4 linked regions of the Lonchura striata genome follow. The protein of the gene in region 3 interacts with the protein of the main gene of each other region in a biochemical or structural test. Links are inferred from orthologs where the notes say so. Each region holds a gene or a part of one and is shown on either strand. Other genes may lie near its edges. The genes, in order: SGIP1, FCHO1, EPS15 and NUMB.

Evidence for each region.
Region 1: the proteins of EPS15 (region 3) and SGIP1 form a complex in vitro, tested with the Homo sapiens proteins (2 studies listed by BioGRID, with this or other methods). The link is inferred for Lonchura striata from reciprocal best matches to the Homo sapiens genes EPS15 and SGIP1.
Region 2: the proteins of EPS15 (region 3) and FCHO1 form a complex in vitro, tested with the Homo sapiens proteins (2 studies listed by BioGRID). The link is inferred for Lonchura striata from reciprocal best matches to the Homo sapiens genes EPS15 and FCHO1.
Region 4: the proteins of EPS15 (region 3) and NUMB form a complex in vitro, tested with the Homo sapiens proteins (2 studies listed by BioGRID and IntAct, with this or other methods). The link is inferred for Lonchura striata from reciprocal best matches to the Homo sapiens genes EPS15 and NUMB.

What each region holds. Positions count from the first base shown.
Region 1 is NC_134611.1:5,294,585-5,302,459, reverse strand, and holds the start of SGIP1 (SH3-containing GRB2-like protein 3-interacting protein 1), read left to right. Parts: upstream 1-4,866; 5' UTR 4,867-5,310; coding exon 5,311-5,320; intron 5,321-7,875.
Region 2 is NC_134630.1:7,889,020-7,896,894, forward strand, and holds the start of FCHO1 (F-BAR domain only protein 1), read right to left. Parts: upstream 3,006-7,875; 5' UTR 2,963-3,005; intron 2,048-2,962; 5' UTR 1,991-2,047; intron 1,374-1,990; 5' UTR 1,323-1,373; coding exon 1,296-1,322; intron 668-1,295; coding exon 576-667; intron 474-575; coding exon 399-473; intron 324-398; coding exon 182-323; intron 81-181; coding exon 1-80. Other genes in the region: MAP1S (microtubule-associated protein 1S), read right to left, coding at 6,150-6,305, 6,664-6,881, 6,967-7,875. UniProt on the Homo sapiens protein: Functions in an early step of clathrin-mediated endocytosis. Has both a membrane binding/bending activity and the ability to recruit proteins essential to the formation of functional clathrin-coated pits.
Region 3 is NC_134611.1:10,084,278-10,091,778, forward strand, and holds the start of EPS15 (epidermal growth factor receptor substrate 15), read left to right. Parts: upstream 1-4,495; 5' UTR 4,496-4,510; coding exon 4,511-4,597; intron 4,598-6,001; exon of another isoform or gene 6,002-6,165; coding exon of another isoform or gene 6,166-6,192; intron 6,193-7,501. UniProt on the Homo sapiens protein: Involved in cell growth regulation. May be involved in the regulation of mitogenic signals and control of cell proliferation. Involved in the internalization of ligand-inducible receptors of the receptor tyrosine kinase (RTK) type, in particular EGFR.
Region 4 is NC_134608.1:35,772,711-35,779,770, reverse strand, and holds the start of NUMB (protein numb homolog), read left to right. Parts: upstream 1-4,055; 5' UTR 4,056-4,160; exon of another isoform or gene 4,161-4,267; intron 4,268-7,060. UniProt on the Homo sapiens protein: Regulates clathrin-mediated receptor endocytosis. Plays a role in the process of neurogenesis.

The sequences.
Region 1 (7,875 bases), about 4.8 Mb from region 3:
CTGGATCCCGCACAGCTGGGACCCCGCACAGCTGGGATCCCGCACAGCTGGGACCCCGCACAGCTGGATCCCACACAGCTGGGATCCCGCACAGCTGGGATCCCGCACAGCTGGAATCCCACACAGCTGGGATCCCGCACAGCTGGAATCCCACACAGCTGGAATCCCGCACAGCTGGAATCCCGCACAGCTGGGTCCCTGCACAGCTGGGATCCCGCACAGCTGGAATCCCGCACAGCTGGGATCCCGCACAGCTGGAATCCCGCACAGCTGGAATCCCGCACAGCTGGGATCCCGCACAGCTGGGATCCCGCACAGCTGGATCCCACACAGCTGGAATCCCGCACAGCTGGGATCCCGCACAGCTGGAATCCCACACAGCTGGAATCCCGCACAGCTGGGATCCCGCACAGCTGGGATCCCGCACAGCTGGGTCCCTGCACAGCTGGAATCCCGCACAGCTGGGATCCCGCACAGCTGGGATCCCACACAGCTGGAATCCCGCACAGCTGGGTCCCTGCACAGCTGGGATCCCGCACAGCTGGGATCCCGCACAGCTGGGTCCCTGCACAGCTGGGTCCCTGCACAGCTGGAATCCCGCACAGCTGGAATCCCGCACAGCTGGAATCCCGCACAGCTGGGTCCCTGCACAGCTGGAATCCCACACAGCTGGAAGCAGACGCTCCGGGGCTGCCTCTGCCTTTGCTGCCCCGGATGTTTCCCAGCACCGCCCCCCACCTCTGCCCCCTCCCCATCCCGTTTCTTTTCCGGGAATAAATTAATTTTAAGAAGCATTCAATGTTCTTTATTGGTGTGGTCCAAGCAGGCAGACCCAAAGGTGATCAGGCCGCTACCCAAAGACAAAATAAATTTTAATGAAAGGCTGCAAGGGCATTCCTGAAGCTCGGGATTTTGCCAGGGCAGAATTTGTTTCTCTGGATTTCTTTACACAGCTGAGAAATTTCCCCTAAAGGAGGCAAAAGCTCCGTTCCAGAGCCCTGGAGTGGCGTGGGCAGGGGATGAACCGGCAGCACTGAGCCCGGGGCCGCAGGGGATGGATCCATCCCATCCCATCCCATCCCATCCCATCCCATCCCATCCCATCCCATCCCATCCCATCCCATCCCATCCCATCCCATCCCATCCCATCCCATCCCATCCCATCCCATCCCATCCCATCCCATCCCATCCCAAAGCACATCCCGGGCTCCCGCTGCCAGGGATCAGCCCCACAAGGGGCTCGATCATATTTCGGGTGGTGTGAAATGGCTGCAGCCCCCCAGGCCTGCACGAGGCCTTTGCCAGTGCTCCTGAACACTTTTATTTTTTTTTTTCCTTGAAGAATAAAAATTAATCAATTCTCAGCGTCCTGGAGCATGCCGGGGCAGCCGCACCTGGTGCCCGTGGGGGTGGTGCTAATTACCCTGATTAGTGCGCGCTTATCAGGGGGGAGGTGGGGTCGGGGGCGATCCTGGAGCCGGGGAGGAGGAGCAGGAGCAGGTGGGATCCCCTGCGGGGTGTGCAGGGGTTCCCCTGGGGTTTTGGGGCTGGGGTCCCTGTTCCTGCCGGGATGCTCGGGGAATCCTTTGTTCCCCCAGCACAGGCTGGGGCCGCCCCGGGAGCTTTTGGGGCGCTCCCTCTTGGGGTTCAGCCTGCCCGGGTGGCTCCTGGAGGTGCCACTGGGATTTTGGGAGCTGGGGCTGGGCTGGTCCCCTCCGTGCCCCTCGTGTGGGGCTGGGGCAGCTCCTCCTGGGGCTCTCCCCTCTCCCAGCCTCCTTCTTTTGGGGAAAAACTCCTGGAAATTGTTCCGGGAGAGCTCCGAGCTCTGCCAGGGCCTGGAGGGGCTCGGGGAGAGCTGCAGAGGGGCTGGGGACAAGGATGGAGGGACAGGACACAGGGAATGGCTGGGAGTGGGAATATTTAGGCGGATACTGGGAAGGAATTTTGGCCGTGGGGATGCGAGGCCCTGGCCCAGGTGCCCAGAGCAGCTGGGGCTGCCCCTGGATCCCTGGCAGTGCCCAGGGCCGGGCTGGAGCTCCGGGACAGCGGGAGGTGGCCCTGCCCTTGTCCCTGAAATTCGCTTTTAGCGGGGCCGGATTCCCGAATTCCCGGGGATCCTCCCGGCAGCGCGGCCGCCCCGGTTCCCGATTTGATCCCGGCCCGTGGCAGGGCGGTGCCAGCCGCCCCTGGGCGCTCCCAAGGCGGGATTTGCCCTGCCCGGGCCGAGGATTTGGTTTTTTTTAGCAAATCCCGGCGCTCTGCGGGGCCGCGCTGTCACATGGAGCCGCGGCTGACTCCGCCGGCAGATGAGTAATGCAGCCCTGACTCATTTGCTGCCGCTTTTATTTGGGTTTTTTATTTATTTTCGATTTTTTTTTTACATCCTCAGCCCCTTGGCTTCATCTGCTGCTGGCAGCTCCTCGTGCCTCTCCTTCGGGAGCTGCTGGAGATTCCCGGGGCTTGGCATGGGAATTGTCCTTGAGGCAGCTCAGCGGGGCTGTGGGGGGGTTTGGGAGTGGAATTGTGAATTCCGGTTTTTGGAATATCGGCTTTGCCTCGGGGAGAGGGGTTTGGTGGCAGCTGCCCCCCCCAGGCTCTCCCTGTGCCAGCTGATCTTGGAAAGAGCCCGTTCCAGGAGCGGCTTTGTGGGTTCATTTTGGTTAATTTTGGTTATTTCGGTTAATTTTGGAGGGGGGTTTTGGTCAGCCCCCCTGGCAGGAGGAGTTTCACAGCGTTGATCTGCCCCACGGATCCAGGGGAAGCTGGAGCTGCCTGGGGGGAGCAGCAGCCAAAATTCCCGGGTGGATTTTGGCCAAAAGGGTATTTTAGCCACAGGCTGGCCTGGGCAGGGATCTGCGGGGAAATCCCGGCTCCCCTCGTTTTCCCGAGGAGCAGCAGCCCCCGGAGCCGTGCCAGGGGCTGGCACGGGATGTGGGGTCACGGAATTCCCGGATTTAGGTCTGGCGGGACCTTAAATCCCATGCCAGCCCTGCCACCCTCCCCGAGGATCGCTGCTGACCCCGCCTGGCCTCGGGCACTGCCAGCGATGGGAATTCCGGGGCCCCGCAGCTGCTCCGTGAATTTTTTTTGGGGGGGTTTGTGTTATTTTGGTGTGCCCAGGAGGAATTCGGGCACGGAAGGTGCCCGTGCATCCCTGGCATCTCCTGCCGGGGGTGCCAGCCTGGCTCCTGGGGCGGTTTCGGGGGCGGCATCCCACGGGCTGTGCCCAGCCTGGCACTGCCGCCGGAATTCCGCGGGGCACGGGGCTGGCAGCGGGGCAGGGAGGTCACAGGAGCTCCTGGCAGGGATTAAAGGAACCATCTGTTCCATAATCCCGTTCCACAACTGCCTTCCCCACACCCTTGGAGGTGCTTGCCTTTTAGATTGATTTTTTTAAACAGGAGGGGGAAAAAAATATTTATTTTTAATTTTTTGCTATTTTAATCGGGCAAAAAAAAAATTGATTTTCATGAATGAAAAATGCCTTTAAAAAAAAAAATTATTATTTTTTCAATGGGGAAAAATGATGTCCTGAGCGGGGACAAGCCCCGACGGGCACGGGGGGCTGCCGGGATGATCCCCAGGAAGCTGGTGCGGGCGGGTTTTCCATCCGCGCTCCGAGCGGCGGAACGCGCGGCTGTCCCCAGAGCAGGGGCGGCTCCTCCGGGCACCCACGGTGCCCATCCCGGGATTTTTTTGGGAAGCGGCGGGGCCCTGGACAGGGTTCGAGCCCCTTTCCTGTCAGGGGAGAATAATAAAATATCCGGAGTTTGGGAGCTGGGTCTGCCAGGGACGGGTTTAAATCCCGATTTTTCTTGGCTAAGCCAGGCGGGATCCCCAGAATTGAGGCTGAGCGCAGTGACAGCTCCGGGGACAGTCGGGAATGGGGGGGTGGCATCATGGGGGGACACAGGGCAGGGCTGGCACCGGGGGGACACGGGGCAGGGTGGCACCAGGGGGGGACACAGGGCAGGGTGGCACCAGGGGGGGACACGGGGCAGGGTGGCACCAGGGGGGGACACAGGGCAGGGTGGCATCATGGGGGGACACAGGGCAGGGCTGGCACTGTGGGGGGACACAGGGCAGGGTGGCACCATGGGGGGACAGGGGGCAGGGTGGCACCATGGGGGACACAGGGCAGGGCTGGCACTGTGGGGGGACACAGGGCAGGGGTGGCACCGGGGGGACACGGGGCAGGGTGGCATCATGGGGGGACACTTGGCAGGGCTGGCACCGGGGGGACACGGGGCAGGGTGGCATCTCTGGGACACTTGCCCGGGCTGGGTTTGGCCCTGGCACGGCAGCGGCTGCCAGGAGGGCCCGGCGTGCCCGGCCCCGCTCCGCTGCTCCTGAGCCGGGATCCATCCCCCTTTTTTCCCGGATCCCTTTTCCCCGATCCCCTTTCCCGGGATCCCTTTTTTTCCACCCCGGGATCCCCTTTTTCCTTTCCCTTTTTTTTCCCCCCCGTATCCCTTTTTCCCGGGATCCCTTTTCCCCAATCCCCTTTTTCCCGATCCCCTTTCCCTTCCCCCCCCCGAGATCCTTTTTTTCCCTGGATCCCTTTTCCCGATCCCCTTTCCTTTTCCCTGGATCCCTTTTCCCGATCCCCTTTTTCCGGGATCCCTTTTTCCCTCCCCCGGGATCCCTTTCCCCTTTTTCCAGGATCTTTTTTCCCCCTTTCCCCTTTCCCCTCTTCCCCCGGGATCCCTTTTCCCCAGTCCCCTTTTTCCCGGATCCCTTTTCCCCAGTCCCCTTTTTCCAGGATCCTTTTTCCCTCCCCCGGGATCCTTTTTCCCCTTTCCCTTTTCCCCCGATCCCTTTCCCCTCTTCCCCCGGGATCCCTTTTCCCGGATCCCTTTTCCCGGATCCCGGATCCGCCGGGCCGGGCATTAACCATCGCGCTGCCCGCAATGGGATTAGGGCAGGGGAAGTGCGTCACGAGGTGCGCACAGGGGCTCTGTTTTTGGGGCAAGCGTGTGTGTGTGTGTATTGGGGGGAATAAAAAATCCCCAAAATCTGGGAAATAGGCTGGAGCGCTGCCGGGGGTGTGCCGGCAGCGAGCGCGCATGTGAGCAGCGCCTCGCCCTCCCTTCCTGCGAGCAGCATCCTCCGCCCGCCCTGCTGGAGGTGATACAGGCGCAGCATCCATGGCCTGCCCCTAGCCGCGCTCCCCGCTCCTTCCTCCTCCTCATCCTCCTCTCCTCCTCCTCCCGGCCGGGAAGAGCCGAGGCCGGGCGCTGCTGAGCGGGGCTCGCCCTCTCCTGCGTTTTTCCAGGCTCCCCGGCAATTGAGGAATGCGCTTCTGCCACCATGATGGAAGGTAGGCGATGAGCCGGGCGCCTTCTCCCCCGGGCTGCTGGCGGGCTGGGGGGAGCTCGAGCCTTTCCCGAATCAAAGATTCCCTCAATAATCGCTCCATGCGCCGCTGCCCCTAATCCCGAGGGCCGGAGGCTGAGCCCAGCGCCGGGCCGGTGATGGAGCCCCGAGCCCGTCAGGTCTCTGCAATTCCATCCCCAGCCTGGGTCGGCAGCTCGGGCTCTGCCCATTCCCGGTTTTCCGCCCAGCTGCCGCTTCCTCCGCCGGCATTTGCATCCCGAAATCCCGATTTTTTATTTTTTTTTTTTTTATCCCGCCGAGCTGTCGCTTCCTCCGCCGGGATTTGCATCCCGAAATCCCGATTTTTTCTTATCCCGCTGTGGATGCGCGGCTGCCGGAGGGGATTCGGTGCTTTTGGCCGGGTGGATGAGCATCCTTTCGGTGGGAAACGAGGGAATCCGGACTCGAGATGATTTTTATTTTCCTTGCCGAGCCGCGGAGATGCTGGATCGGGGTTTTTCGGCATTAAAAAAAAAAACAAACACGGGGATGAGGAGGGAATTTGGGCTCCGATGCTTCGGGGAGCTGTGTGTGATCCTGTGTGGGAAAAGCCTCTGGGCATGACAGGAATTTTATCCTCTGTCGTCTGTCTCGGCCGTATGTAAAGCTCTCCTTTATTATTTATCATCTGAATTCCTTCTGGAGCAGGATGCAGGGGAAGGATGCCTCGGGTTTAATTTTATTTTAGCGGAATGGATCCTCCAGGGCCAGCAGGAGCGAAATGGATGGAATTTTGGGGGAATTCTGGCCCGTTGGTGGCAGCAGCAGGGCCTGGCTCGGCGGAGCCTCTTCCAAGCCGGGGAGCTCCCCGGGATGACAGGCAGAAATTGGGAAATCGCTCCCCGGACTATCCCAAAATCTGGGGCTGCCCCTGCCCAAATTCAGCGGGAGAGGCCTGGGGCTCCGTGGGATTTCTGTGGGTTCAGGATCTTTCCCTGGCCTCAGGAATTCGGCCTCTCCTGGGCCGGGTTTTGGAGGATTTGGTGGGAAGAAAATGAGTTTTGTTGTGCTGTAGATCCCAGGAGAAGCCTTCCCTGCTCTCCCGGGTGCTGATGAGAGTCACAAGCCAGAGAGGTTTTAATTTTAGCCCGTGACATCAAAGCCATCCCACGACAGGCAGGTCATGGCGGGGAAAATGCCGTTAAAATCCCGGCTGCTCCCGAAATTCCGGCGTTCAGGGAGGAGTTCTCGTGGATAAACTGGAGCTGTCCCCTTGTAGGCCTTGCTTGGAGTTATTTATTCGGTTTTCAGGCTGCTTGGGGGAAGGAAATTGGGGTTTTGAGGCTCTTTGGGGTTTTTGGGTTTGGGGTTTCTTTTGGGTTTGGTTTTATTCCTCGCGGGTTTTGGCCTGGCAGGAGTTTTGGAGATGGATCCAGGGCTGGATCTGGCAGAGGTGGAATCACCTTCCATGACCCAGTCATGCACGGGGAAAAATTAAATACTCATCATAAAAATGGAATTATTAAACAGCTCGAAACGTTCCCCAAGTGGCTGATGCAAACCTAGAACAGAAGTCGGGAAATGAGAACTAATTCCTGGGTTTTTTCAGTTTTGAAATAGTTGGAAATTGGCTGGATTTGTGGGAGAGTGAAACTTCGATCTGAGATGCCACTGAAACTCTGGCCCCTTATTTAATTTTTAAATAAAATTATATTTATCGAATATTTAGATTTATTTAATATGAATACAATTAACTCCATGGTTTTGACAAGCATGGCTTAATTGGAGCTGACGCTTTAAAACGTGTTCAAAACACCGAGAGTTCCTCGCAGAGCATCTTAAAGGGGTTTAATTAGTACTGTCATTAATTCTTTAAATCATTTGTCCTGCTGGAGTGGTGGACACCGAGCTGGCAGTGGAGGGTGGGTGCAGGACCTGAGGCCACCCATGGGCAGCAGGAGGGACCTGGCTCATGGATCCTCTTTGGAGCCTTTTCCTGGGAAAAAAGAGAATTCACCGGGTTGGGAACGGCGCAGGATGAGCAATTTGTGCTCAATATATGGAATATTTTGTCATTCTTCTGGGAGATGCGAGAAAAACGTTTCTTTTTCATGGATGCCTAAAAGTCCCAATGATATCCCCAAAAAAAACAAGCAAAAGGGTTTTTTTTTCCCCAGCCCCCCAGCCTTGCTGGAGGACGCTGAAGGTGTCTCCAGGAATGGAAATTCCTCCACTTCCATGGGGCAGGAGCATTCCATGGCTTTGCCGGGTTTGGTTTCACTCGGGGGGGAAGAGGGATTGGGATTGGGATCAAACCCCCTGGAGATGCCTCCTGGTGGGAAGCAGGATTGGGATGGAGATCAGACCCCCTGGAGGTGCCATGGGAAGTGGGGATGGGATGGAGATCAAACCCTCTGGAGATGCCTCCTGGTGGGAAGCAGGATTGGGATGGAGATCAAACCCCCTGGAGATGCCTCAGGGTGGGAAGTGGGGATGGGATTGGGATCAAATCCCCAAGAGGTGCCATGGGAAGTGGGGATGGGATGGGGATCAGACCCC
Region 2 (7,875 bases), on a different chromosome or scaffold from region 3:
TCCTTGGACTTGGGCAGCAGCTGGGCCACGCCGTGCAGGAGCTGCACGGCCTCCAGCGTCCCCGACACCTCCTCCTTGGACTGCCGGGGGCACAGCGGCGTGGGCCGGGCCACCCGGGCACCCCAGCGAGGGCACAGGGCCGGGAGGGGACTGGGACAGGGCCGGGAGGGGACGGCAGTACCTTCTTGTGCACCCGGCCTTGCTCCTCGCCGTAGCGCGAGATCTCCTTGATGAGGTCGTGCAGCTTCTTCATCAGCTCCAGGTGGCACAGGGCCAGCTTGTCCGAGGAGATGCGGAAAACCTCCCACAGCGGCGCGAAGGTCCTGCCCGGGGGGGCCACCACAAGGGTCACCCGGGGTCCCCAAAGCCACCCCAAGGTGTCCCAGACCCCCCCGTACCCCAGCTGGGTCCCGTTTGTGGCCATCTTTGACAGCTTCACCATGGCCTTGGCGTAGTTCTCCTCAATGGCAGCCCTGGAAGGATGGTGGGGAGGGGGATTTGGGGTGGAGCTGGGATTTTGGGGACCCCTCCCCAGGGGTTTGGGGAGCCCCCAGGTTGTCCCCAACCCCGGGTACCTCTCCCGGACAAAGTCTGCGAGCTCCTTGGTGGAGATCTGCCCGTGCTTCATGTTGTGGTAGAGGACGTCGAAGCCGTGGTTCTTCTCGCCCTGCCAGGGGAGCCCCCAACCTCAGACCCCAAATCCCAAGGGACCCCCCACAACCCCTTTTCCCCAGGAGCACCGGGATCAGTGTCTGGAGTGGCCCAAGCCCCCAAAAGTGGGGTGCTGAACCCCACACCTCCTACCCAGAACTTGCCCCAGGTGCTCCCCAGGACGGGCTGGACTGAACCCCAAAAACCCCTGGGGTTATTTTGGGTGCTGCCCCCCCACCCACAAAGTGGCTTCACCTCAGACCCCCCCCTCCCCCAGCCGCGCTGGGTGTGCAGGTGAACCCCCAGGGGAAACTGAGGCAGGAGGAAGAGGAAGGTGGTGGCAGCTGCCGGATGAAGCAGGAAGCACCGGCCACGCGACTTCCCCTGTTCCCCCTCGGGGCTGGGGGTCCCCAGGGAGCGGGGGGGGGACACAGCGATGTCACCACAGCTGGGAGACTCCCAGACCACCCCCACCACCCCACCCACCCCCCAGTTAATTAATCAACAGCATTAACGAAGGCATGGGGCCTTGAAACTTCATCTCCCCCAAGGGCGGGGTGCGTCTCTGAGGATGGGGGGCACCCACGGAGGGGTGGGGAGTACCCAAGGGCGGGGGGCACCCAAGGGCGGGGGTCCCAGCTTACCCAGAAGTGCTCGGTGAAATAGGACATCTTGGAGGGGGGGCAGCGGCGCGGGGATACCGCAGCTCAACTCCCGGCAGCCTGGGGGGGACACCGGGGCCTTACCGGGGGGCTTCGCGGGGTCGCACCCACCCGGTTTTATCGGTTTTCCCAGGAAAACGCATCCCCGTGGCCATGGAAACCGCAGGGGTCCTCCTCCAGAGACCCCTCCCCAAGGTGTGCGGCACCCCGGGGCACCGGGGATGGCACCGGGGGGGGCACCGGCGGGGCCACCGGGGCGGCGCTGGGCCCGACACCAGATACGCAGATAAATAATAAATGAGCGGCTGCTGCGTGCGGCGGCGGCTGCTCCCACACCCGGCCCTGCCCATGCCCCCGGGCCCCCCAAAAAACTCCCCCACGACACCCCCGCACCCCCCGGGAACCCCCGCCCCACCGGAGAAAGGACCCAAGTGTCCCGACCCCCCACTCCCCAGATTTGCCGAGCTGGGGGTCCCCGAGCAGAGCAGCCCCCCAGCACTCAGTGTGGTGACCCCCAGATGTGCCCCCCACCCCAGATGTGCCCCCCACCCCAGATGTGCCCCCCACCCTGGGCTGTGCCCCCCCGAACCCGCTCCCCATCATGCACCGGAGAAAAACAGGAAACCCCAAAAATTCGCGCCTGGTTGGTGCCACCGGGGAGGCCCTCCCCGACTCACCCTGGGCTGTTTGGGGGTTCGCGGTGGCCCCCCGAGCATCCTCGGCGTGTCGGGGGTCTGGAGGGGTAAAACGGGGGGGTAAGGGAACGCTGCAGCCCCCCCAAAACCCGCCCCGAGCCCCCCCCACCGCTGCCCGGTCCCTCCGCCACCTGTGTCACGGGCGGGGCGGGCTCGGCGCGGCCCCCCCGACAAACGGGGGGCGGAAAAACCGGGAGGGGTCGTGAGGGGGGTGCTGAATCCCACAGCCCCGCCGGCCCCGGGCGGCCGCGAACGCCACGAACGCGCCGCCGGCCAAAGTCCCCGCCGGTGGCCGCGGCCACCGAGTCCCCGAGCGGGACGGCGGGTGCGGGGTGGGGGGACTGCGGCAGGGCCACCCCAGGACCCCCGCTCCCCAAAACCGGGCGGTTCGGGCCACCCGCAGCCGTGACCTTCAGTGCGGGGCGCCGGGGAGCCCCCGGAGGATGCGGGGCGACCGGAGTGGGGGGCCCGGTTCGGGAAGGCGGGGGGAGATCGGGGCGGGGGGTGCTGCGCGTCCCAAAACCCCCCGGGAACGGGAAGCACGGCGGGGAGCCGGGGCGTGCACCCCGGAAAATAAAAAAGGAGGAAAAGCGCAGAACCGAGCCCTGCACCTGCAGCGGGGGGAGGCGGCGGGGGGGCCGCCCTCAGCACCGGGAGCGGGCTCGTGGCCAGCGGGGGCTGCACGGTGCACCGGGACGTTATTAACGGTGGGCTCCGGGACGGTGCGGCGCAGCGGGGCGCGGTGTACAGCGCGGGGGGGGATCACGGGTGGGGGGGTGGGGGGCACGGGGCTGCGCCTCCGCACACCGGCGAGGGCGATGCTGCGGGGGTGGCGGGGGGAACCCGCGCGGGAACGGCGGGGCCGGGGTGCTGCGCGGCGGGGACACTCCAGGACGGGACCCCCTGTGCGGGGCCGGGGCTCGGTGCCCGCTCCGGGCAGGACGCGGGACTCACCTGCGGGGCCGCCGCCCCCGCCCCGCTCCGCCGCCGCCGCCGCCGCCGCGCCGGGACCGCGCCGGGACCGCGCCGGGGGCGGAGCTGGCCACGCCCCCTCCCGCCAAGACGCGTCGCCATTGGTCAGCGCGCCCGGCAGCGGTGACCGCAGCCAGCGGCCGCCGCCTCCCATTGGTCGAGGCGCCGCCGCGCCGCGCGCGGGGAGGGGGCTGATTTGCATTTTTAAAGCGGCCGCCGCCCCGAGAACCGCGGCGGGAGCGGCGCGGGGGGAGATGCGCGGCCGGAGCCGCCGATACCGGAGCTGCCGGTACCGGAGCTGCCGCCGCCGTCCCCCGGTTGTCACCCTCCCCAGGCTGTCACACCCCCCCCCCGCCCCCCCCGGGACTGCAGCCGCCGCACGCGCTCCGGCCCCCGAGCTCGTGGTGCTGGTCCCGGTGCGGCGGCTCCCCCCGCCACGACCCCGCCGGTTGTCACCGCACCCGCGGTCCCCGACTGTCTCCCCCGCCTCCGCCGCCGGTGCCAGCCGGTGCCTCGCACCCCGCTGAGCTCATGGCCCGGCTCCGGCTGTCACCGGCGCAGCTGTCGGAGCGGGCACGGAGGCGTCCCCGCGGGCAGGGACCGGGCGGGGGGCGGGGGACATTCCCGGTGGGGGCGACGTTCCCTTATTCCCGCCGGGAATGCACCGAACGTCCCGCCGAGATGGGGGGGACGCGGCGGCCCCGCGGGTGCCACCGGAGCCGGCACGGCGGGGACGTCACGCGGCGGTTTCAGTTACGCTGCCTTTTGTCCCGGCGACACCTGGCAGGTACGACGCCAGGCCCAGCCGGTGGCACCGCGGAGCGCCGGTGGGCTCGGAGGCTCTGGGCTGGAGACCCCTCCCCAGCTCCCGGCACGGCTCGGCCAGGGTCAGGCCCCTGCTGGCGCTGTCACCTCCGCGGCTCCGCGGGGTCCCCGCGGTGTCCCCGCGGGTCCCGGCAGCCACCAAAAGGGGACACTGGCGGAGAAGCCCCCGCTGGGACCCCTCCCCAAAACCCAAAGCTACTGGGACCAGTCAGAGCACTGGGAAACAGCAGAGTGGGGGGCTCGGGGGGGGCTGGGGGGACAGGGACAGCCCCGAGGACAGCCTCGATCCCGGGGGTCACAGCTGGGCTCCAGGGGACCGGACCCCCCCTGCGCCCCCTCCCCAAAATACCCCCGCTGGAGCAAAGGGCCTGGCAAGGAGGAGATTTTTGGGGAAGGGGACGTTTGGGATTGGCTGGGGGGGTGGGACGAAGGGGAATTTGGGGGTGGGTATGGGGGGCTTTGAGAGGCTTTTGTTCCCTGGTCCTGCCAGCCTCGTGCTGCCCACGCAGAGTGGGGGATGAGCACAGGGACACGGGGACACCCCCACAGCACCGAGGAGGCTCCGAACACCCCCCAAAATCGGCGGGGGCCGAAGACAACGGCTGCAACCCTCTCCTCCTCCTCCTCGTGCTGCTGGTGGGGCCGGGGGCGGCGGGGCTGGGATGCGGGGCTGGGATGCGGGGATGGCGTTGTCATGGCAACCCCGCATCCAGCCTCAGCCTTGGCGCTGCTGCACCGCAGCGCATCCACCCCCCCGACCCCTCTCAACCCCCCCCGGTCACACCCTGGACCCCCCCACAGATCCCCCAACCCCTCTCCCACCACCAGCTGCAACTGCAAACCCCCCCCATCCCCAAAAACCCCCAAAATCCCTTTCCCACCTCATGGTACCACCCCCAAAAAGGCCAAGCTCAAGCCATCCTTTTCCACCCCCTCCCCAAATCCATGGGGACCCCCCCCATAAAAAAAAAAACCAGCCCAGGAGACAAAGATCCACTGGGAATGATCCTCTTTAATGCTCATTTTCCACACAATTGCCAAATGGGAACGTGGTGTGCAAGATGGGGAGTGTGTGCTGGTGGTCACGGGCAGGGGCTGGGTTTTGGGGTGGGGTGGTGGTCACAGCCACCCCACCCACCCCAAAAAATGCCCCCCACCAACCTCCAAACCTTCCAGCTGAGAAAAAAACAATATAAAGCACTAAAGGTGAAACATTCAGTGCCCCCTCCCCGAACACGTAGGACGATACATTCAAAGGTAAAAGCCCCCATGGGCATTTATTTGGGGGGGGGGGAGCAAATATAAATAACCCCCCCCTCAAAAAAACTGACAGAAAAAGAAAAGGTTTAGTTTCTTCAGTTTTCACGATTTTTGTCTTTTTTTTTTTTTTTTTTTAATCTTAAAAAGTCATTACAAAAAGAACCATCGAGGAGCCTCCTACAAAAACAGGTTAGTGTTTGTCCCAAGGGGGAATTTAGGGGGAGTCCTCACATTCTGTGCCCCCCCAGCCCTGCCCTGACCCCCCCTTTGGTGCTCTCCTCTCATAAAACCCCTTAAAAATTGCACGTGATGTTTGGTTCTGAACAGCTTTGGGCAGCTCCTGGGTGGATGTGGCAGGGGGGGGCTGCTTTCCACTCCCCCCAAAAAATGAGGGGCTGGGGGGTGCCTTTGTTCAGCCCCCACCCAAAAATTTTGTGGGGGAAGGCTTGGGGTGGGAAGGGGCATCAGTGCAGCGAGCTGGGCAGGTCTCAGCCTCATGCTGCATGTGAGGGGGGGGTTAAAATCAATTTTGGGGGGGGGGGGAGGGTCATAACAGTTTTTTTGGGGGGCACAACCATTTTGGGTGGGGCCAAAACACCAGGGACAACCCCACAGCAGCACCCCCTAACCCCCTCAGGGATGGGACCCTCAAGGTTGTCCCAGCTTTGTCCCGTCCCCTCCCCCCAAAAAAAATCGAGACCCAGCCCCTCCACCCCCCATTTTGAGGGGTGTTTGGGGGAGAAAACTGTGGCTCATCCAGGGAAAAGGGGGAGGAAACAAAACAACAAAACACCAAAATTTACCCTGTTCCATCGAGCTGCCCGTGGGGAACAGCTCAGCACCGCTGCTGGGTGGGCTGGGGGACACCTCCTGTGTCCCCCCCCCCCGTGCCAAGCTGGTCCCTTGTCCCCTCCCCGGGCTGGCAGCGGGTGCAGAGCGTGGCTGGCATGGGCATGGCACGGCGGAGACACCCCCACACCTCCCCTGCTGTCCCCATCCCGCCCCTCCGAGCTCATGGGGCAGCTCAGAGAGGGGTGGGGGTCTCGGGGGGAGGGTGGGGGTGGCCCCCGGGCCGTGCTCCCCCTCAGAACTCCACCTTGCAGGCGGGGAAGGTCTCGTCCTGCATGGCCACGGTGCTGTTGCTGCCCAGCACGGTGATGCCCAGCTCCTGCTGCCGCTCGTGCGTCTCCTGGTACCACTCGTGCATCACCAGCGAGTCGAAGGTGGGGATCAAGGTCACCTGAAGGGACGGCCAGGACACCCTGTCAGCCCCCCAGTGCTGGGAAGGGGCACCCAGGACACCCTGTCACCCGCCCCAGTGCCAGGAAGGGCCACCCAGGGCATTTTGTCACCAGCCCCAGCATCTGCAAGGGCCACCCAGGGCATTTTGTGACCCCCCACAGCATCAGCAAGAGGCACCCAGGGTATTTTGTCATCAGCTCCAGCATCACGAAGGGGCACCCACAATGTCCAGTCACCCCCCCAGGCACTGGGAAGGGATGCCCAGAGCAATCTGTCAGCCCCCCAGGACACTTTGCCACCCCCAGCGCCATGATGGAGCCGACCCCACCCTGCTCAGCCCCAGGCTGGGAACTCACCTGGATGTCCACACCCCACTGGTGCTTGCCCGCGAGGAGGGCATCGAGCAGCGGCCGCAGCACGCCCTCCTTCAGGTGGTCATCGCCGCTGACCACGTAGCACAGCGAGCGGATCCGCCGGAAGAACTCCTCGTCCACGGTGCGGGCGCTCCAGGAGCCGGGCAGGTACGCCAGGTCCACGTACACGGGGGGTCCCTGGGAACACGCGACCCTCGTGCCTGCCACGACAGGGGGACAGCGGTCACGACAGGGGGACAGCGGTCACGACGGGCCCCCAAAGACCCCTGAGTGCTGCGCCCGTACCTGCCGGCGATGCCCGCCCGGCTCCGGCCGCCGGCCGGGCTCCAGCGGCGCGGGCGCTGCCGGGGGTCGCGCTGGACGGGCCCTTCTTGTCCCCAAGGGGCGGCCTGGCCTTGTCCCCAGCAGAGCTGGCTGGAGGCCTGGCCTTGGTGGCCGAGGGGACACGAAGGGGCTCGGCCTTGGGGGCGGCGGGCGCCGAGCCCACGTGGGACGGGGTCCTCTTCACTCTGGTGCCGGGGAGCTCCTTGCGGCCGGGGGGCAGTGCCTCGGGGTCCACCATGCAGATTCCGGGCTGGGCAGGGAGGGGACACGGGTCCTTCAGGGGGGCTGGCAGCGGGTCACACGCTCGGGCCACGCTGCGGGGCGGCCGCTCCGAGTCCTCGTCCGACTCCAGCCCGTCGGCCAGGATGGACGGGCAGTCCTCGGTGGCCGGAGGGGCGTCGGAGTCGGAGAGGGTGGGCAGCGACTCGCTGACCGACGTGGGGGGGGTCTCGCCCGGCCGGCCCCGGGGCGGTGCCAGCTCCTGCGACGGGTCACTGTCCGACAGCTCCCGCGGGCTGGCGGCGGCTGAGGGCGACCGCTCGGACTTGGGGTGCTCGAACTCGCAGGGGGACACCAGGCACAGGTCCACGTCGTGGGGCGAGTCTGAGCGGTGGCCGGGCCGTGGCACCATGTCCCCGTCAGCCCAGGGCGGGTGGTGGCACGGCTGCAGCGGCAGCGACAGCCCTCCTTTGGTGGCCTCGGGCTCGGGAGCGTCCCCAGAGCCGCAGGATCGCCGCCCTTCCTCCGGGGGGGACTCGCTGACCGGCGGCAGCACCTGCTCGAAGGACACCGAGAGCGACTCATCCACCTCGGTGGAGTGCGGGGACCCCACCTCGGCTGGCAGCGAGGGCGTGGTGATGGTGGGGGACA
Region 3 (7,501 bases):
GTTACTGTGATGTGTGAAAGTTATTTTTTGTCTTATGACCAATGTTTATTGCATTGGTGTTATTTTGTTTAATACTTTCTGAAACATTTTGACATTGTTATGGTTGTAATTAAGACCAGATGAAAATGAAGGAAAGTGGAGAATGTAAGAATAGATAAGAAGATGAAAATAATTGGGAAGACAAGTAAGGAAATCTCAAGAAGAAAAGCTTGCTAGTATCAAGATTTACAGTAATTCCATAAAAATGGTCTTTTACCATTAACAGTCATGTGTTTGTCTTAAAGACAAACCATTTAATAAGAAGAAAAATACCAAGTGCTCTTTTATCTAATTAATTCATGTATCTTATAATTCTGAAATTAATTAATCATCTTTGTGAAGGGCAGAGTAAACTAATTCTAGGTTAGGGGAAGGTTGGGAATTCAGTGTGTAGATTATATTTTTTATATTTTCTGTTTTCTTATAACATAATAATCTTTTAAGTGTTTCAGAAAGGTGAGCAGTGTGTTCCCTGGATTTATAGTATAGACAACATGCCTAAGGAATCAGGGAACAGAAGAAACTGTTGGTAAAAGCTTTTCTGACTGCTACTTTGTAAATATATTAGTTTTCAATCCTCATTTTGGTTTAATATACACTACACACTACGATATTGACATGTTTAATTTATAATGAAGACTGATGCTGTTTCAGCAGTGCTATTGCTTGTTCTATTTCAGAACATGTATTAAGCTGTTCAAGGAACAGTGAAATCTCCAACTGCTACATTAGCTGGACATGTCAGATTAATGCCTATTGAAGATTTTTCTGGGTTTCAAATATGGTCTTGAATGAAAAATGTCATTGTGCTGTCAGTCATTCAGCTAATTATCTAGAATTCAAGCTGACCTCTTGTATATATTTACGTTTTCTCTTATTATTTTACAACATGAAGTGTAGCCCCATGAAACTGGCTAATATAAATTAGTTTGAGAAAAGATGCTTACAGTCTTAATGAAAAGATAAATGGTATATGTTTTAAAATAGCAGATCTGTACTGCTACATTTCAGATTTGCCAGCACTTCCATCAGATATGATTAAAGAGATTCACTCAAACCCTATTCAGGTTATTTTCAATTTTACCATTCTCTTAATAAAAATTCAATATTATTCTTTCTAATTACTACGGTTAAAAGATAATTTTAGCCTTTGTTTTTCTGAATACTGGCAATATAGATTACATCATTTTGCAAAACAAAGAGGTACAATAATTCCATACTTTGTTTCTGCCAGATGAAGGAGTTAAATTCAGATATATTCAAATACTTCTGAACAACTGAACAGAAAACACTTTAGAGATGAACAAATATGCAGTTATCTTAATATCCTAGTTTGTGTTTATTTAATACTGCTACAGTTTTGTATAAATTTGATCATCTCTCAACCCACTTTGAAGTATTTTCAAAGCTGCTATAACTTTGAAAGTGTGCAAACCACATTAAGAAGCCAAGAGCACAGCACAAGATGAATTAGCAGGTGATTCCTATGCAGTTTTCATAACGATCAATGTACATACTCCAGAAAATAGACATCCTCCTAGAGGATACACTATAGGACTCACAGATTACGTGTTTTATGTAGAAGAAACACAGAAATTAACAGGTCTCTACAGAAGGTCAGTTGGAGTCTGGCTAGATGATTGTAATGTTCTCTTGTGGCCTTAAAACATAGCAGCCTATCTGTAACCCTTTGTCTAGAAAACTTGCAGCTGCATAAAATGTAAAGAGCACACAAAGCATATCCTGGGGTGGATTTCTAGATAAAGGCATGCCTGCAGTCGTGACTTCCTAAACCAGCTTGTGTCACTAGTCCTGGAAAGTACCCTGAGATTTCTGATAAAAGGTCTCCTCAGTCCAAAGGTTGTCAAAGTCTGCGTGATGATCTTCCTCCTTTCTCAGGAGGGATCTTTCAGTAGCCTAAGTGTGGGAAGTGCTGTTCTGTACCAGGACTATGGCTGTTGCTTGGCTCTCTGAAACCTGTGCAATGTCTGTTTGCCTGTGGGCAGATTCCCTTGCATTACAGTCTTTGATCATAGAACAGTGATTCCTTTTTCTGGCCAGGATTTTGTGTGTTGATGCATATGTTTCCTTTTGCTCTGTAAAACTCAAAGTGGCTTAATCCTTCTTACTTTTAAATCCTTGGTTCTGTATACGCAATGCTGCAGCTACTGCTCTGCTTTGCACTGGAATTCCAGAGAGCTGGGTACCTCATTTTGTGCTCAGGAATGCAGGAGGCAGGACTGAGTCATTCCTCTCTCAGCCTCCGGAGTGCTCATGGGCTGTAGTAACACCTTTCCTAGAACGAGCAGAACAAGTCACACTAAATGCCTGCGTGCTGTTTTGCGCTTCCCGTGTGCTGATCCATAGGGTAAACAAAGCTCTAGGAAAGGAAGAGATGGACACTTAAGATGTTATTTCTGGGGGGACCAGTAGATGATTAAAATGTTACCAGCTTTACTAACAATCATATTTAGACATCTATAGAACAGTGGTCGTTAGTGTTTGCCTGTGGTGGAGAGCCTTTCTGTGCTACCTTGCACATTTTCAAATTCAGCTGTATCAGAGCAAGTCATTTGTACAGTGTTCCACAGTGGGGATTTGCACCAAAATGGTTGTGCTGCTGCTGTGCTCACTGCACTGCTGCAAGTCCCAGTCTTCACCAGCCATTTGGCTAGTTTTGATTTGTTAGCAGTCCCTTGTTTGTCCAGTGTAGACATAACTTTGTGCATTGTACTTTCAAAGAAACAATAAAGAACACTAAGATCTGGTACCTATTTGTCAAAATGCCAGTATTTAGAATTGTAGAAAATCCTATTACACTTACAAATAAAAGCATGCTAATACTATTTTCCATGTCCTTTGGGCATAAAGTGCACTGTAGTAGAGGATCTTGCAACAAAACATCATATAGCAGTTCTTACAGAGCAGATTACAGATAAATATTTCCTGCAGGAGAATTCATGTTAAATGCAAAAAAGATACAAAATGAAACTGTTAAAGTTCTTGCAGTTCATTGATCTTTTGTCTTTCTTATGTTCTTAACAAGCAAGCTTTCCTGAAAACCCAGCACAGAATCCCACCACTCCTTACAAAATTCACAGAAGATATTTCAAAAGGTCAAGATTCATGGGGTCAGCAAAGGAAGAGATAGAAGAATGGGGTTTCCACTGAGGAGGAAATAAGAGGAGAAGTACATTTAGAAAATCCCTCCATTCCAGATTTCAGGAGCTCTTCCACACTAGCCAAGCCCTGGTGAGCTGCTCATGGCTAAGCCAAGAAGGTCATTGGAGGGCATTGTTTTGCAAACCTGCCAACAGCTTTGAGTAAATTTTAGTAGCTGTGACTTTTCTCTTGGCTGCAAGTAAGTATGAAGTCCAGTTTTGTGATCTAATATCAGGTGATGACATCTCAATTCCAGCTGAGAAGCAGAGAGTTGTTTTTCTTCTGGGAGCTGTCATTCTAGATTTGTGAAAATCTGCAATACAATCATTCACCATCAGCAGGCTGACAAGTGCTGTTGTGATTGTTATAGAGATGTCTGAGGTTCTGAACTGGTTGTTTTAACTCAGGTGGTTGGAGGCATCCAGGACAATTTGTCTGTGAGCTGCACAGAATGATCAACAACAGCACAAATCTACATGACCACACTAATTCAGTGTTGACTATATGAAACTCATTATTGTTTTAATTTGTAGAGGCCACAGTGGTTACCTTGAGGGATTCTTGCCCTCTGACTGTGGACACAGTGGTCATGCCTGATGACTGTGAGCGTGCAGAGCCAGGGTGAAGGTACATAACCACATACCTGGCAGTGCTTGCTTGTTCCTGAGCTGCAGGTGCAACTTGGAGTCTGCCGCAGCAGCTCTGGAGAACACTATGGAAAGGTGCTCTGGATGTGGACTGCTGTGCCCTTCACAGTTTGAGGAAGTAAAATGGGGGGTTATTTTCCAACACAAAGTTCAGGGAGATCAGGCCTTCAGGAGTGGTCTTGGCTGGAGCAGACCTCCCTACTGAACAAGTGTTCTGCTCTGAGGGGACCTGGGGCTTTTCATTGTGCTCTGGGGTGACACAGCTCTGCTGGCTGACTGGCACAAGTCCCTTGACTCAGCACCTGTATTCTAGAGCCTTGCTGCAGCTCTGGGTCCCTTCCTGCACCTGGTAGGAAATACTTGATGCAACACCCAGGAGAGAAAGAGAACAGCAGCAAGAACACTACTGAGCCAGATAGCCTGCCCACAAAATCCTGCTCACAGCAGCTCTCTGCATCAAGCCTCCAACTCCAGAGCCAGATCCCAGGTCCCTGTTTTGCATTTTCCTTCTCTTTGCAGAACACATCAGCCTGGGTGTAACCTCTCTCCTGAGAGGCCACCCGTCCCTGCCAAGCTGCAAGGCTCCAAGATGAAGGAAACAACTGACAGAGCAAAGGGCACCCAAATGAGCTCATGGCTGCTCAGAAATTCAGGCTCTCCAAATGCCCACTAAGGGGCCCCCTCCCAAAAATCCTGCTCTCTCCAGGAGACACAGCTGCAGCTTTACAATCTTCTGGTTTCATTTCCAGGTATTAATTATTCTGGGATAGAATTCGAATTTTAATCAAAGAAGAAAAAAATCTAGAAACATAAAGATAAATCTAGAAATATAAAGATAAATCTAGATATAGAAAAAACCTAGAAATATAAAGTCTGTGCTGTTTTCTAGGGATTTTGCTTATGAGAGAAGTGTGAGGTGGAGTAGAGAAGTGACAAGTGAGTATGTGAATGGTGTGAATATTTTTATATTTATTCTGTTTGCTGTTTATATTCTTCCCCTCCATATTTTCTTTTTCTTGCTGAAAAAATGGCTGAGAAACAGGTTGATAAGGCAGAGCTTCTATAAAACCTTTATAAAGGAATAGGTGGGAAGGAGGGATCCCACATTTCATGACAGATGATGAGCACTAGCAGCTCAGGATGACTGCCAGCTGAGGAATGACAGGATGCAGAGGTGGGGCATGAGCACACGACTGAGCTGAGGAGGACAAAAACAATGCAGAGGGGTATAGAATTATGAACAGATAAAGAAAACAAAGCATGTAGGGAAAGCTTTCCAATAATCAAGTATGACTTCAGCTAATTTTTTCTTACTAGTCCAAATGCATATTTCAAGATTAAATGTGTGCCTAAACCACCTTGGGGTAAAGCATAAAAATAGAAACATTTTCTCTTGGTCCTCAGTGACTTATGTATGCTGAGGTAGTGCAGAGCTCAGAGTAGGAGTGGAAATAAGCCAGTGGGAGGAGGTGAGCAGGTACAGGAGCAGGAGAATGAGCGGTGACATAAGTATTGTTTTCAGCCTGTCTGTACACAATTGTTTCCCATGGGTTTGGAGAATGTGGTGCAGTTTACTCCCCACTCCAGCCTGCTCCTTTGTGTCTTGTTGCAATGTCTCATAGTTTCTCCTGCCATAAGGGTTGCTCATCCCTTTCTTCTGGTTACCCGCCCCAGAAGAGCCACTGTTGCCCTGAGTACAAGCAGGGAGACAGAAGGATGCGTACAACCATGAGTTGCCTGGACAGGCATCTGATTTCCTGTGAGTGGAGGGAAGCAGGAGGCCGAGCCCAGGGCTGCTCCTCACCGCTGTGAGGATGCGTCGGGTCAGGACATCCTGCTGGGCTCACGCGCTGCTTCCTCCTGGGCCTTGTGCCCAATTCTGTTGCAACTGAGACCAGACCTGCTTCACCTCCTGTTTTGGGACTTCCCCACCTGTGGCATGACTGGACTGGAGAACTGCAACCATTCACCATGCTGGAAGCATCTCCAGCAGAAGCAGGGCAAATAGGGAAGGTGAGGGAGAGGCCGGGAGCTGGCAGTGGGGGATGTTGGTCTCCGTGTCAGGCCCATGATTCCGGCTCCGGGTTTTCGCTGCAGCTGCCTCGAGCGGGCTCCGGCTCCGGTAATCCGCGCCCGGTTTTGCGCGCGGCTGCGCTGCCGTGTGGCGGCGGGGGAGGCTCCGGCTCCGTCCGGCGGGCGGGCGCGGATCCGGTGCCGGGATTTGCCCGGGGCCGGCTGGGGAAGTTGCCGAAGTTGTGCGGCGAGTGGCGGGGCCCGGCGCGTCCTTCCTGCGGCCGGGCCGGGGGCATGGAACAGCATGGCCGCGCGCCTCTCCCTGGCACAGGTGAGGGGCTGCGCGCCCGGCCCGGCCGTGCCGCCGCCGCCCGCTCCCGCCCAGGCACGGCCGCGCCGCGGGGCTGCCCGGGGCCCGCGCTTTGTGCGGACGCCGCCGCCCCGCAGCGCTGCCCCGCCGCTGTCAGGTGGCGGCGGGGCGGGGGTGTGTCCGTGTGTGCGGGAGGGAGGGAGAACGGCAGCGAGGGGAGGCGGGTGGGCAGCCCGGCGCCGCGACCCGGGGGTGCCGCGGCCGAGGAACGGGTCCCGCCCGGCCGCAGGTGCCTCTGCCCGGGGCAGGAGACCCGGCCGGGAGCGGCCCCGGGCGGGCGGGGCTGCGCCGGCGGCGGCCGCCGTCCGTCTTTTGTCTCTGTAGGACTCGGGGCTCCGGGCTGGAGCCCAGCGAGCCCCGTCCCGGGAACGGAGGGCGGGCGGAGCCGGGGAGTGTTGGCGGAGGGGCTGAAAGGCGATAGCGCCGGGTTAAGGTGTCCGTGCCCGGTGCCAGCCCCGCGGGCACACCCGGCATCGTGGGGTGCTCCGGGGCAGCGAGACCATGGGCAGGTGGCCCTGGGAGGGATAGACGGATTCCTTGTTTTAGCAGAAACCTGGCTCCGCAAATGCTGCTTGCGGGATCGTTTTACCTTGGTTTAGGTGGGCCCCGTGGTTTTGGGACATTTTTGTCACATAGTGCCCATACAGGTGCCTCATAGTAAAGAGCTGTGGAGGTGGTGGCCCTAAAACTTGGAGACCGTGGCACTGTGTCATGCTCGTGTCATCTCACTTCACCTCAATCCTTCTTGCTCGCATTTTTTTCTGACAGTAGTGGAATCACTTCACACAGGGTATTCTACATCATTAGGATCATGTCTTACTCCCTAGAGCTGCAATAGCTAAGGAATGACATTTTTTGATACTTTCTAATTTCATTTAGCAGTGAGATGAGAAATTTACATTCCTACCTGACATAAGGCTGAAGTGGGCCTTTTGGTTCACTCTCCTGGCTTGGGATGCTTCAATCTGATAGCTAGTTGTGACATTTACAGAAAGCAAAGTGGGTAAATGAGCTTAATAAATTGCTTAAGCACATGGAAGTAAACTTAAAAAGCTGGCAGTGAGGCTGCACAAGTTTACAGTTACTTACCTAGTTTGCTTTTGAGAAGAATATCAACCATTTCAAGGAAAGAAGTAGTTCAGTGAAAAGGTGAGTAAATATATGGAGAAAACAAATATATCTTTAAGAGTCTAAAGGTATAGTTATGAAGTATAGTACTGTCTGTGAAAGCTTGCTTTATATTAAAATGGCTAAGTTAGTATTGTCTGAG
Region 4 (7,060 bases), on a different chromosome or scaffold from region 3:
GCAGACTTTCTCTGTGTTCCTGGCAAACCATTAATGTAAACCAGTCACTATTAGAAAGTTAAGCCCAGCTTAATCCTTCTTCTCATTATTACTTTGCTGGTGACCTTCCTTTTGCACCATCAGTTTTGTTCTCATGCCAAAACTAATACCTAGTAAGGATAAAGAGCATTTCAAGCCTTCACTAACAGGTTTGCTTAGCTGACAGTCTTTCTTACACAGCCTAGCTACATCCACTATGTCATCACTGGAAGGACACAGCTGGATTCTGAAGCCTGCTGCTCATTGTGAAAGCTATAAAGTTCACTGCCAGATAACAAGACTGAAAGCTAATTCAGGAACTGTTTCTCAAGAGCTATCCTCTGGCCTCCCTCGTCAGAGTGAATGCACTCACTCACTGAAGCATCTTTTGGCAGCAGCTTTGGCTTCCCTCCAGCTGTTTCTCTCTTTCCGAGGATCTTCTTATTCAGTGACTGGTTGTGGTCTTTAAGCCTGGTTATCTTGTACAAGGAGCCCCACTGAGAAAAGAAGCCTTCCCTGCCATGGAACAACCAAATTAAAGCACATTTGTAAAAATCATAATTAGAAGGTCCTGTCCTCCCTGTGAAATTATCTTTTTGGAGGGATTTGGAAGCACATGTACCATGTGACACGAAAGCAAATACATTGGAATTAAAGCTGAATTAAAATAATGTAATTAAGTAGGACTTTTGACTGAGTTTATTCAACCCCCTGACTGGGCATGTGTACTTTCAAATTTTGAAATAATTTTATGAGGGGTTTTATGCTTTTATTAGTTGCCATCTAGCATTCAGTAGCATTGAGCAGATACCATCTGCAGTGACTCCATAGGCAGTGATTAAATACAAAGTTCCAGACTTCAAGGCTCCAGTAGAAGGAGAGAAAGAAATGGCAATGAGGAGAAAATCCCCATCCTAAAATGAAGGCAAAGAGAACCTGAATGAAATACTTCTCCTGTGGGATTAATCACATCTAAAGAATCAAGGTAGAAAGTACAGTCAAACTCTTCCTGCATAAATCTTGTGCTAAAGAATATCCTTCTGATATGCCCAGACCATGGCTCTTGACAAGCTGTTTGGCTGATGTTTTTCCATGGAAGGCAGGTTTTAAAGGATTCTTGCTCCTCATATCCTTTCTGTACTAATGATGGCAACTGCATAGCTTTGCTCATTAAATACATTTATGCCCACTATTTCAAGATTAACATATCACTGTGCCAACATAGGGCAACCCTATTCAACACTTGCTTCTCCTGTAAGCTGTTCCTAGTCAAAAGCCTTACAAAAAGACTTTATGTTTTGTTTCCTATATTTAAGTTTTTCTGAAGTATTCTGAAATTGCTTGCTCACCTCAGATGCAGCACTACCAAGATGTAAATACTATGCAAACAGAATGCCTTGGTTTAGCAACCATATTGGTTCAAATCTGCTCAGAGCATGACAGGAGAAAGCCCCTGTAGTAATTGCTTATTTGCTTCGCATAGTAGATATGTATTGCTACTAGCCAATATGGCACCTTATAGAAATATTTTTGAACATTTCCAGTGCTCATCCAGACACACAAGCTCCTATTGTTTTATATATACTGCCGAAAAAATGGAATTCCTCTTTGTGAACATAGAAATGCATATATTTATACTGGTATGGCTTGTTCCTAGAAGGGATAACATGGTGAAGGGAGATTTAATCACTGACATTATTTTAGATACCCAATAGAGTAGAATGATGTTAAGCCTCTGGGTATCTGCAGTGGGGATAAAGGAGTTTGCATTGTCATGAATGTGTGTGTGATATATTCTCAGGTCCTTAGGGAATAGCATACTCTCCTGCTATCCCACTGAGTCCAGGAAGGATATTGGCTAGAAAGGCACAGTTGACAGGAGTCAGTGGGCATGACAGGGAGTCAAGACCATTAATCCTGTGTATTACACAGGGAGTCCTGTTCTTAAAGAAAAGGTGATAAGGGGCAAATTTGGTTTGGTTTCTTGTGAATGCTATGAAGTATCTTCCATTTCTTTGTTATCTATGAGGATCAAAGCATTTAAAGCATTTCTTCCAGTGTCAGACCTTGGAGAAGTAATTTCCCCCCCTCCCATGGAAGTGCTGTGGGAAGACAACACACTCAACCCAGAAGGTGCCTTGGACCCGCAGTGCAGCACTGTGAATGTGCAGCTTGCTATGTTGGATGCTTAGTGTGTCCAGCTGAGTGACCTCTAGGGTCATCTTCCTTTCCTTTCCCACCACGGCCCCCTTTCCCTTCAGTCACCAATGACCATACAGGGAGGTCAAGTTATTAGCTGAGCAGAGAAGCAGTAATGGCAACAAATGAATTTAGCTATCTTATAAATATTTGTAAAAGCTATAAATAGCTGAAGCATACATTGGATTTTATTTACAATAGCATGTCCTGGCCTTTTCCTTTATACTTTTCATTTAGAAGCAGAGCTTCTTGATAATATGAGAGTTGTTAATTTAGAATTAAATTTTCATAAAAAATAAAGAGCATCATGCTTTACAAAAATTTCTGTCAGAAATCCAGAGACTGTGAATAAGATGAAGTGTTATACTGAAGGTACTGGGAACGCAGTATTTAAGATCTATGATAAGTCAGGAATGTTTTCATAAAATCTGAAGAAAACTTGGGACTTGAATATTTGAGAGGGAAGGCAGCTCTCTGCCTTGATTTTGCTTTCCTTGGAAAGCAAAGGATATGCAAAAAGATGTAAGGAGAATCCCTGCATCTTCTCAGTTTAATTTATGAACAAGGGGTGACTTGGGGGTCAGAGCATCAGTCTGAAACTGAGTCAGTGTCATACTCATACTTCTGCCTGAGCACTTCCTGTATAAACTTGGTAAATTATTTTTGCACATGCTCTGAAATTCCCAGTGATTTCAGTTGCTTTGTTTTCTTGATGTTTGCCAGCTAACATTATGGCCCGCATTCTTTGCTGCTCTGTTTCTTTGCTTGATTCAGAAGCAAAGAGGAATAAGGGGGATGGTGTATGCAGGGAGAATATAATAATGAAGGGAAAAATCAGGTAATCGTTGCATTTTGATTTTTTTTTTTTTCCCCTTCTTCTTTTCAGCTGAATGCACCGGGAATCGTTCTGGCTTGCATTTTGGATGAAGCAGCTGCTTGAAAGTCTGGTGAGAGGAGGCAGCTGTTTGAAATACGCATTCTGGTTAACGCGTTCAGGCCAAGCCCCGTATGTGCAGTCGCAAGGGTGCTTCTCCCAGAGGATTCCCCTGGGTAACTTCCCTTTGAAGCGCAGCCTCCCTGCTGAATTCAGCACCTGCTACTGTCTCCACTTCGAAAATGGAGGCATGCTAGTGTTTCTGGGGTCGAAAGAAGGGTATCCTGAGAATACTGTGGTTCTCAGTCTCAGTCGTGGAGGTTAAAGGAGCCTGCTCGCGATTTTCGTGCAAGCCTGGCCTCTGGCTGATGTAGGACATCACGGTTTCCGGAGAGCTGGCATTAGCAGCACGTCTCACTGCAGCCCCCAGGGAGGGTGGCAGTCACCACATGTGGTTTATCGGGGGGGTAACCGAGGTGGCAACGGGGCTGCGGGAACCCTCCTCCTGGTGTCGCCACCGCCGCAGCCGTGAGGAGATAAGAACCACAGCGGAACCGAACCGCAGACGGGCGGTGGGAGGCGCATCGCCCCTTGACGCATCAGGGGTCGCCGGGGCCGGGGGGCCCGGAGGTCCGGGCGCTCCCCGGCCGCGAGCCCGGCGCGGCAGCGGCCGCCGCCTTCCCGCCGCACCGCGCAGCCGAGCCCCGGCGGGGCGGGCGCACCGCCGCAGTGGCACCTCGGGCAGCCAATCCTGGCGCGCCGTCCCCGCCGCGTCAGCCAATCGGAACCGACAGCGAGAGATTGGGGGCGCCAAAGCCCCGGCGTGAATAAACCACCCGGGACCTGTGGGGCGGGGATGGGCGGGGCCGAGGCTTTGACGGGCGGCTCCTCACACCAATCCAAAGGCCGGACCTCGGGGCGCCTGGCCAATGGGCCGCCGGAGTAGGCGTGGCTGGCGGCGGGGGCGGGAGCGACGGTCGGGGGGCGGGGGCGGAGCGGCGGCGGCGGCGCTGCTCGGTGGCGACGGGCGGCGGAGGAGGCGCCGGAGGGAGGCGGCTGCGGGTAGCAGGTGAGCACGGCCGGGCCGCGATGCGGGGAAGGGCCTTCGCTGCAGCGGCCGGTGGTCGGAGCCGCAGGCGAGCGCGACGGGGCCGTGCCAAACCCCGTGGGGCGCGGGTGGGTCCGGCGGCGGGGGGGGGGGCGCCGGAGGCGGGGGAAGCTTGAGGGGCCGGAGGGGATGAGGGGGGGCAGGGGTACTCCGGGAAAGTGCGTGCGGAGGCGGCGGGCGATGTGGGGGCACCCTCCGGCCCCCGCCCCGGCGGGGCGCGGTGGGGTGGGGCGCGATCCCCCGGTGCGGCGGAGCGGGGGCCCGGCGCAGGTGGAGCCTGCGGGGGGCGGCCGCGGCACCGAAGGGCCCTGCGGGGAGCACCGAGCCGCCGGCCCGAGGAAGCGACCCCCGGGGCGGCGCCGCTCCCTGGGATTCTCCCGGGGCTGCCTCCCGTGCCTGCGGTCTCTCCTAGGCCTTGAATCCCGGCCAGGTTTCCGTCAGAGGGTCCCTCCGGCGCGGCCGCTCCCGGGCGCTTTGTACCGCTTGCCGCCCCTGCGTGGCCGTGGGAGCGAGGGGGCTCCGGGCAGCAGGGGCTCTCCCGAACCCGCTGCCCCGTCTCAGCTGGGGCTGGGCTCTGTGAACTTCGGGAGGCGTCGGGACGAGGCTTTTGGGCGATGGTACTGACGTCCCGGTCTGGCAGCGGGAGTTGTAGGGGAAAGGGCCCCGTGGGCAGCGGGGCTCGTCTCTTTTCACCCGGTTCGTGGCTTGGCCGGTGCCTCGGTGCGTGTGCGGCAGCTCGCCAGGCTGCACAAAGAACAGGCGGCCGGGTTCGGCCCGTCCTGCGGGCCAAGGAGGGATGGATGAGCAACAGCGTGCGGGGCGGGGGCTGCGGTGCGCCCGGGGAGCATCGCCCCGCTCCGCGCTCGGTCGGTCACGAAGGGTTAAAATGCAGCTCCCGTTCGGAGAGCCCTTAATTCCTTTTATTGCGCTCTTGGAGATGAACATTCTTCAAGAATGAAATGATTTATCCCTCACAGTAGAGTTAATGTCTTGCAGCAGCTCTGATCTACAACTCCTTCGGTCCAGTAGATTTATATAACCTGCTCATTAATGGTTTATGAAATGATAAGGGAGCTTTTCTGTTTGCTGATGTGTTTTGTGTGTTGTTATCAATATTTCCTAATTCAGCTGTCCGGAGTAGGAGAAGCTTATAGTTGTCAACAATGTATATTTCTACCATTTAAAGGATTTCATTTTGCTCTTGTTTTGTATTTTTGATCATTCTGCATATCAAGATAGGCTCCTGAATGAAGAGAGTGAATAAAATGGAAGGCACAGTCATTCTCTTTGGCTACAGTAATACTCTAAGTATGACTTGTAACAAAAAATGTAAATATTTAAATGGATTTCTGACTCAGTTCTATTTGACTTATTGATCTATAGTTACTGCTAAAATGGTCTTTATGATTATGCGGAGTTAATAGTTACCATAGAGAAAGAGATTGTTTTTCTGTTCATCAGTGAGTGTTTTCCATTTCTTCATCTCTTGGCAATTGTCTGTGGAAGTGCTGTTTTTTTCCCCTTAGCAAAAGTCTTACAGAAGAAATAAGGATGTGAACAAAGTCCAAAACAATGAATTTCAGATGTGTTCATTCTTGCCTGTGATTCTAGGAGTCTTGGTACCCTGAGTTATCCTACAGTAAAGGCTTTTTAATCTGTAATTGCATATAGTGTTGGTTTTAAGCCTCAGTGAAAATTTAGATTTACAGAACTCTAAACCTAACACATAAAATATTTTTTTCCTAAAATATACATGAGAAATGAAATTCAAATGAACAATTTAAATCCTTACTAGCAGAAAATTTATTTTTTATCCTTGGAATTACTTTCCTGCATTTATTATTTAGCTTAAATGTGTGGAAACTGAAGGCGCATGTAAACTAGATAGAGTAGACAAGTTTGTTTATGTTTTCATGTAGTGTTGTGAAACCTTCTGATTTTTTGTTAGCAGTTTGGCAGCATTATGCATTTGGGAAGAAACCTAAACCAACAAGCCACATTGGGCTCTTAAAACTTGCCAGACTTCTAAATCTTACATTTTGTAGTTTGATAGAGCTGCTTGGTGTCGGAATGATCTGTAAGTAATTTTCTTTCCTACCATAACGGGTATGATGGATTAAAAACTTTCTGAAACGGTACTGGAAGTCTTTGCAAAAGTGCTTCCTTCCTCAGGAATTGAAGCTATTGGGAAAAATATACTGTAGTAGATTTTTTATTGTGTGTTTGTGAGAGCCTATTACAGCACTGTGAAGTATGTCTTGAATTCTGCCTATAGCTGGTTTTATTCCACTAGTAATATTGATGGAACTGCATAGCACTGGAAAAAAAATGCTCTAATGCTATAGAAATGTAATCTTTTGTACTCTGGAAAAGATGTTTTAAAGAAGCTGTCAAGTAAGAGACTGGCAGCCAAAGCTGGTCTTATTGGTGACTTTTTAGTTGTATCCTACTTACTGCACTCATCTACTTGTCTGACACTCTGCTGACTTTGTTCTTTCTTTAGGGGAGGGGTGAAAGTTCACTTATAGTTTTGTTCTCCCAGCTTATCAAGCAAGCTTGGTTTAAACTCATATGAAATCTTGTCCTTAGTCTTGTTTTTGGAGTTTGCTTTGATTGGTGAACATATATTAAAATTACAGCTTTCTTGTTAAGTCTCAACTGATCTCAAAATATTAATAAGTGAAATTAGACCACATTGCCTTTCTTTTCCTGCAGAATACCAAGCATAAATTCAATCAAGCTAAGACTTAACATGTCCTCTACAGTCATATTATTGAATTACCACCACAGCAGCTTTGATTTTTCTGCCGATGCTTTCACCAAAAGGATCTGTTTTCCCCTGTTAGTCTTTCTTTGCTGAT